2 linked regions of the Bombyx mori genome follow. The protein of the gene in region 2 interacts with the protein of the main gene of each other region in a pairwise test. Links are inferred from orthologs where the notes say so. Each region holds a gene or a part of one and is shown on either strand. Other genes may lie near its edges.

Region 1 (4,343 bases), on a different chromosome or scaffold from region 2:
TAGTACTCAAACAGTTATCCGCTTAGAAGTTTCCAAAACAAAAAACGGCCTAAGGGTCCGTTCACACAGACCGGCTCGGAGAGGAGAGCACCTTCATTCCGACTATTCCTCCTAAATAATTTGTAGCGACTCGAAGACGTGAATAATCACTGTCATACTAAAATTGAGATATCTATTATCCTAAAAGGGTGAAAAATTGGAGCACGGAAAGCAAAATGATGACTTTTTTCATGCGTAATTACGTTGTAAACACGGCTATTGTATTCTTACGATATTTAGTATGATTTCGCGATACTTCGGCACTGTTCCAAGCGCCATCGGCTACTCGTGGTGACTCGTGTCTTTTAATTTACCGTGAGAGTCAGAATTTTTTAAATACTCTTTATTACACTAGTAAAGTATTAAAACATTTAACGAAAACCAGAAAAAAAAGCATTACCCAAAGATCGAAGAATTGTTCCTATTTCCCTTACATCTACGACTTGCTTCCCAGAATGGTCAAATACTTCGAAAGCTTCAATTATTTTTTTCTCCAAATCATTGTTTGGTTGAACTAGAAAGATACATTTAAGGTATATGAGATATACCAATATATGACATATATCAGATATTATACCAGACGTAATATCTATTTACCAATAAAAATGTTTGGTTTTGTTTAAATTTCAACTAATAAATGTATTTATGTATGTATTCATTTATAATAAAATTTAATGAGTGATACTAAATTACACAGTATTTACATCGCTCGTTTATAAATTATTAAATGTATATAAAGTAAATCTTTCAAATAATAACTAACTTTTAGGTTCCTCTTTTCTTGCCATAATGAACTAATAGTTTAATTATAAGATTTGTAACACTAATAAGTACACGTATTAAATTGAAAAAAATATTCCGTAACCAGGCAACACAACCTATCAGTTATCACTAGTGTCATCGACGAAGCTTTAGTTCTATTTTGCACCAGAGCTGCTGTAAGTTAGTATGTATATATGTGACGGATGCTTTGAACATGATTTTGACCCCCTTCAAAACGTAGACTGAAATCAAAATTTGACATAGGTACTTATCAAGGACCGTTGACAATGCAATATTTTAAACAGTTAGACCTATTATCCATAAATTAGTTTTTTTTAGGATTAGCTCCCAGTTTTAACAGCTCCTCCACAATATTGACAAAGCTTAATTCAACCAATGTACAAATTAATAGCTTATTGTTGACATGTTGATGTTTAATTGTCGTACCACATTCAAAAAATATTAGTTAAAAAAAAATATATACTTTAAAAAACACAAAAATATGCTTTTATAGAAAATCAAATAGAAAATAAATTCATTGTAAAAACAATCCAATCTATACTGATTAAACAGCAGGCTTCCAGACTTTTGAGTAGTATGGATAAGAAACCCTTGGCCTTTTGAATTTTACAACAAATAGCTTATTCCAAAAAATTCTGGAATCGCCAATCCCCACCATAGATAATATACCGCCATTTCCTTCCGTTATGCTGATGCGCCGCTAAATCGCCATTTTGGATTTAGTTGGCGCTTTTTCTGTCGTGAATTTTCGTTCAGATAGTAATAGAATTAATATTATTTAAGCACATGTGTTTTAAAAACTTTAAAGTGTTGTGAAGTGGATACTATCAGACGATTAATACAATGGATCCTGCTAAAATGAAGGTGGTGGACTTGAGGTCCGAGTTGGGTGCTCTCGGGTTAGATACGAAGGGAAACAAGCCGGCTTTGGTAGAAAGATTGAAAAAAGCACTCGAAGCGAAAACTGGAACAGGTTAGGATTTCAGATGTAATTATTTAATGCGTAATGTACAGTTTTTTAGTAATGTTGCTGAAATTGTTGTTAGGGACTTTTTTAATTACTGCACGTGTACATTTGTCGATCAATCATGGATCATTGTTGCACTGTTGTTTCCACTTTAAGAGATTTAGTGTGATTCTTAGTAACTTTAACTTCCGTAGTAACCATACATCAGTTTGCTGTCCCATTTAGAGATTTGCAAACACACCTATTTTAATATCTGACGCCAAAATCAAGGTTACGACTTTATTCACACTCAAGCATGAGATAAAATCGCATAAAAATCTAATAATTTATTAAATATTAATGTACAGCATCATTAAGTTTTCGAAGTATTTTATATGTTTTTACTGATACAACGACGCATATCAGTTATTGCAGTTATTCCAACTGAACAGTTCAAATCGTAATCGGTTTGAAAACTTCGACATCGATATCAATTTATGTATACACTGTTTTATGGGAAATTCATTCATATGATTATTCTTAGGCTTAATAATAGGTAAGAAGAGCTCGATTCTGCAAAGTAAAATAAAACGAAATTCAATCAAATCAGTTAAAAGCTTTTTTTGCACAAAATGTATACGTCTTTTTGCTTCTAATGTCCAGATATAGTATTTTTAGGTATAGAAGTAACTTTAAGGATACAACCTTGATTAATTAATGTTTTCCTCTAAGGTCTTCAACGAAATTATTAACTACTGTTATTTTATTTAAATTTGCTATCAGATAATATGTTGATTAGTATGAAATATTAAGACTAATATTTTCCAGAATTGTTGAAAAAAGCATGGGTAGCAAATTAATTTATTCATCACAGTCTTATAGATAACAAAGATAATATACAGAGATGGTTTTTAAAATAATAATTAAGTACCTAATCTACTAAATAAAAATAAATACCATACTTTGTTTATGATCTGTGTTTTAAAAGCAATGTTTATCATTAAATTGATGAAGATTACAATGGTCATATTACTGTCAACCTTATCTAAAATAGGTTGCATGCAATATGTTACAAACACAGAAAACTTATTATTAAATAATAAAATTAAGTAAGTTTGTTTCAACTTTATTTTGTCTGTGGTGGATGCTTAGTATTGCAACAGATATTATAGAGTTCAATAAAAAATTATGGAGAGAAAAAAACAAAAAAGTCTGAAATCACACTGTGGATGCAGAGAGAATTGAATGCATAAGTGGTATATGATATTTCAGGGAAATGAGCAGGACCCTAGTGCGACTTGTACCGGTGCTTTGCAAAACAAGTCTTTGTTCAGGTGCGAAATAATGCTTCATTCTGTTGAGGATTCCCAAATTTTACAAAGCAAAAAATGTCATGTAGTATTTCAATTACAATTAATATTTATTATCAGACTATAATAGAGTAGGTAATACCTAGAACATTGTTAATGAATGCAATGTTCGATTATTGTGAACATTTTAAAATTGTTAGTTAATATATAAAACATTTTCAACAACAACATAAAAACATTATTGAAGAAGTAATTTTTTATTTTAATTCCTTTAAAACACTAACAGAGTTAATATAAGAAAATCAACCATTAGAACTGGCCAGAGTGCTTAGTGTAAGTTTTTGAACTTCTCAATCATGTAAAAGTCAACTCAATTTTGTATGGGGTTGAAACAGCGCCCCTTTGTTTCTCGCTAAACGCATCAATTATGCGACTGAACAATTACAGCCCTTATGGAAAGTAGTTTTGTAGAACATACAATACTGTATTTAGGATAGTATATAGTATATATAGGGTTAAAATAATTTATTAAACTATTAATTTAATATCATAAAAAGAATGTATGTACTAAAAAAATTCATCTAAATTATGAAATTAGAGATTAAGAGAAAACAAGCAATGTAGTGATTAATTCACATGCAAAACTACTTCAAATGAAAACAACAGTGTTTTAAATCATTTTGTTCAAAGTAATCACTATGGTTGTCTTTACCATTTTTGTAAATAGTAATGAATGCATAAATAAATAAAATAAAAGGTTGAGTGCTGTTTGTGTAAACAGTAAAAAAATGTTATTTATTAAATTTCAACAAGCATATAATAATTTATGTACATCCATAATAAATAATTATACAGAATAAATTTCTTGTACATTTAGATTACATCATGCTTTATAGCTTGTTACCATCTGTACTACAAAAAATATTGTCACTGTATTTAAAAAGATAGTTAAAAAAAATTTGAGTTTTGAATAATTATTTTCCTTATGATTAATGCCAGAATGCTCTATATGCTTAAACTATTTGAAGACTAAATTAAGAATATTGATAAGGGATACACCTTAATCAATTTTTATTAATTTGGCTTAACACCCTAAATACACTTCGATAAAGCGGCACGACACGAGAACCCTCTCATCGTGGCCGCCGGTAACTACATTCCCGATCCTGCGGACAGAATCGAAAGCAGTCGACGTCGCCCAAAACACGTCATCTCGGATCCTCCCGATCCACTAACGGTGCTTTTAGGTACTTCAAGCACCGGTC
Region 2 (4,413 bases):
ACAAAATAAATTATAAGGTTAATTTATTTCCATTTGAATTTGTATGTACCTTGTACCTTTAAGAGAGCAATAAATAAATTATTATTATTATTATTATATATTAATATTAAGTATTAGATTACACAAAATGTTAAAATAATAATTGTTTTAACAAATCATATTTGTTTTTACAGACTGAATGATCAAACTATGGTAGTCTAATTTTGATCCCTTTTTGTTTTTATCAGCTAAATATATACCTTAAAATATAATAAAAAATTAAGCCTTCTATTTTTACCTCCGGTTATGTTCTGTATCCCTTTTCATGCTGAGTTGGAAAGCTATTGGTTCTCCTTCTTCCACTTCCACTTCCTGTGGTAATACTATTGCTGTTTGTTTCCAGTGTGTTGCCAAACTATTTGGACTGGTGTCCAAAATTATACGATTCTCGTCTTTCGTTTCAGACATACTGGGAAAATTGCATTCGAACCATAGACACAAGCCTTCATAAGAACCAGATTTTTTAGCTCCTGAAATAGGGACTTTGACTCAATTACTGAATAACAAAATATAAAAAAATTGAAACTTTTACATTTAACTTAGATGTGTTTTAATGGAAATACATAAGCATTATAAAAAGATTAAATACCAACAACATGCTGGATGCTGAATTCATTCAAATCAGATGCACTGTCTTCCCTCAAATTAATCCAGCAAAGTGCTACTTCATCACCAAGCAAATCCTTTTGCTCTATATTCAAAATTTCTGGTTTAGTGGATTTGTTTTTGCGAAGATGTTTAGCAAAAGCAGACATTGATACTCCATGCACATTGTTCCATTTGTTGTATAGTGAAGGTATGCTGCAAGTAGAAACAGAAGGTATAGAGATACTAACAAATTGTTAATGTTATTTCAACAAGTGTTTCATCTTGACTTCTATGACAAAAGAATAACACTGTGGAAATAGTTGAACCCACAAAATTTATAAACTTGAAAATTACTGGTGGAGGAAAATTTTTTTTTAACCCTTACATATTGGTGTCATTGTGTTGACTCCTGTTGTAAAGCAGTTGTACATTCCAGTGTGAAAGGTAAGATAACCATTGTATATTATTATTGAAAGTTTAATGTCATGTCTCAAGGGGGTAAAGTCTATGGGCCCAGGTGGGCCTTAACTCATTAACCTGTTTATTTTATAAAAATTATAATGAAAAGAAAGTCATATTAGGATTTATACAATTTGCCTTACCTACATGGTGCAACATAAATAACAGCCGTTTCAGGAAACATTTCTCCCCCTTCCTTAAGAAACTTATCTCGAGCAATTAGCACAGAATCTAACATACCTTCATGCAATAGATAAAAACCCATCCATTCAGATACTATCACATCTACTTTTATGTTATTTGGTAATATTACATCTTCAACTTTACTGTGAATTATCTAGAAAAAAAAAAGTTTTTAATTATTTATATCAGTCTGTAGTAAGTGGTTCTTGTACAATTGAAACTTCTAAAAATTGCCAGAACAAAGACATATGAAGTAAAAGAAGAAACCAACCAACTGATGATACCAAAAGAAGAAACCGAAAGTCCTATGTAATATTGAAACGCTAATGGAGATTTAACCCAAGATTTGGTATTCAACTATTTTTTTATTTCTTTTTTTATGGAGTTTTAACAAATAAATGGTTACATAGATGTCTACAATACACAAGAAGACATTACAATTGGAAATTTTGGGTTTCATAATTTGTGCTTCAATTATGAATTGAATTGAATATGAATTTTTGGTAATTTTTTAGACATCTTTGTTACTTTTTTGTTGTACACACAGGTGAATGAGACTGCAGGCTCCAAAGACCCTTTTCCTTGAGTGATTTTAAAAATTTATTCCATCAGATTAAAAATTATGAGCTTGTGTTAAATTTATATTTCTTTGGTAAGACTGTATCTGTCTGCGGCATTTGAACACTGATATATTATTAAAGTTGTATACAAGTAAACCTGGGTTCTTTTTTAAGCTACAACATTATATCTCATTAATGATTTCTATTGACTCGATTCAGTAGTTATGCATACACATAATACAGTATTTTAATGGTCATTGTTCGCAATCTTGCCATTGAGATCCTTAAAGACTGACCTTTATGCCCCCACAACAAAGTCTGTACAGTGTATTCAAACAAAATTAATTCTGTTACTGTATGTCATTTCCACAGGACGATCAAAATGTTAAAAAATTGCTTCAAATAAAATGTGTACTACTGTTTGGTCTACAATAATAAAAATTTAATTTGGACAATACTAACTTCAATAACATTTTCGAAACCATTCTCTTTCACAATTTCTCTAGCTAAATTCGCTAAATTACTTGCTTCCACGGCATATACTTTTTTAGCATCTGCTTGGGCGCAGAAAACAGATAAAATTCCTGTGCCACATCCAACATCCATTACTATTTTATCCTTGAAATAACATTTATTCCCTAATATCGCTTTCTTATAAGCTAGGTTTCTTGGTTCGTCTTCTAACATCAATGTATGCACCTGTTGAATTAGATAATATAAAAAAATATTCAGTAAAGTTAGTCTTTTTAGTTTTTTTTTTATAGATTAACCTCTAAATCTTCATAGCTGTTAAAGTAATTGTTCTGCACTTCTTCAGTTTCCATTTTACTTCTTCGCTTAACTTACGAACTAGTCAAAATATTTCGTTTTTTATCAATGAAAAATAGATAGGTAATCGAAAAACAAATAAAACAAAAATATTGATGTACGGAAATCAATCCACAAACTAGTTAGACGTAGTGTTAAATACTCTTTGAAACTAGTCTTTGCCATAGATTTTTTTGGTACAATTTTTCCTTATTAGAAAAGGCAAGAGGATCTAAGCCCATACAGCCTTTTACCATAAATAAGACAATAAGACGTGTCATTAAGTGTACTATGATTCAAAGCTTTGCTAGCTTTGCTTTGTTAAGCAGCTAACTTCAATTTTCAAAAAACCTATCAAAAAAGGTCTAGGTTTAGCAGTGGTTTTATTTTTTATTCAAGTTTCATAACGGCTTATTGACGGTTTAAAATCTGTAAAAATGAAGCAAATTTACTGAATGAAGACTAGAGTTTTTCTAAAAAATCTAACAACTCTCCATGAATTTCCACTACTTAGAAGCTCCTAAATTTCATCTCGTTCAAAATCTATGGCACTATCTTATTTCACCACATTCACTTTAATTTAATTTATTCCGTTATAAATTTTATTTTATTCAGTTCCATTACACTTTTAATACAACAAACATTTAGGTTTTGTTTCAACATTTTATAGGGTTCCATTTGCTCGTTAAATAGATGAAACGAATAAAAGTGATCTCTACAAATAAAGTGAGTCTATGAGTAGGCTGTATGAGCTTAGATCCCCTTACCTTTCTTATAGAGGAAAAATTGTACAAAAAAAAATGTCTATGAGTTGGTCATAGACAGATTTAAACGCTAATATTGCTACTTTTTAGCAAAATGACAAATAAAATTTAATATTAAGATAGGTTATGATAAATCGAGAATATAAATTAAATGTTTCTCAATATAAGAAGATGGCTAAAGAAAGTGATATGTCATTATACAGCGATGTGCTTGAACCATTTCGTAGGGTCATAAACACTGAACCACCAAAAGACAAGTTATCGGCGTCTACAAATCTAAACTTTTCTGATAGTACTCAATCTATAAAAGAAGGTATAGTGAGAAATAATTTACTAACTATAAATGTTAGCACATTTGAGAGACATCTGGTACAATGTAAATTTAAGTTCAAGAAATACATTTAACCTAAAATTGAAAACAAGACGAGTGATCGTTGTTTTCATGTCTATTGTTCGCTGTTTTTCAATTTGTTGATTTTTTTAAATTTCTGTTTTCCAAGCGTAATCATTCGCGTTAGTTTGAAAAGATTGATTGAAAGGGATAGTTGAAAGGCAATGTATGTCCATCAGTCAGTCAGTCATTCAGTCTTAATAAAAATAATATCTCATAAATATTTCTGCCTCTGTTATTAACAACAGAATCACCATTAGTTAAGTTTGTCACCTTTTCAATAAACTGCAGACGTTCAGAAGTAAAATGTCAAAACTTAATAAGTTTATAAACATTAAATAGGCCTCTCCAATCTACTGACATTTGGTAAAAGAAAGTCGAGTATCGGTAGCGTAGATGATGTGACACCAGATAAGAGGCTTAGAAGAGACTCAAGTGGTAATGGAACCACAGCACCACCATCACCATGGGAAACAAAACGTTTGAAGATTGATCTGATTGCTGCAAAAGCACAGGTACAGTGTTTCATAAACTTATATTTTTTTAAAAGTTAGAACATACTTTCAATGTAACATAAAAACAAAATCAAGAACGAAACGAAATCAAGAACAGATTTGTTGAT

The links.
Region 1: the proteins of uncharacterized protein LOC101745013 (region 2) and heterogeneous nuclear ribonucleoprotein U-like protein 1 interact in a two-hybrid assay, tested with the Homo sapiens proteins (2 studies listed by BioGRID and IntAct). The link is inferred for Bombyx mori from reciprocal best matches to the Homo sapiens genes PRMT2 and HNRNPUL1.

What each region holds. Positions count from the first base shown.
Region 1 is NC_085130.1:5,992,904-5,997,246, reverse strand, and holds the start of heterogeneous nuclear ribonucleoprotein U-like protein 1, read left to right. Parts: upstream 1-1,441; 5' UTR 1,442-1,665; coding exon 1,666-1,795; intron 1,796-4,343. Other genes in the region: dynein regulatory complex protein 8, read right to left, coding at 440-553, 803-827.
Region 2 is NC_085125.1:5,641,246-5,645,658, forward strand, and holds the start of uncharacterized protein LOC101745013, read right to left. Parts: upstream 2,823-4,413; 5' UTR 2,654-2,822; coding exon 2,600-2,653; intron 2,529-2,599; coding exon 2,292-2,528; intron 1,424-2,291; coding exon 1,230-1,423; intron 841-1,229; coding exon 629-840; intron 510-628; coding exon 278-509; intron 1-277. Other genes in the region: mitotic spindle assembly checkpoint protein MAD1, read left to right, coding at 3,527-3,713, 4,134-4,306. UniProt on the Homo sapiens protein: Arginine methyltransferase that methylates the guanidino nitrogens of arginyl residues in proteins such as STAT3, FBL, histone H4. Acts as a coactivator (with NCOA2) of the androgen receptor (AR)-mediated transactivation.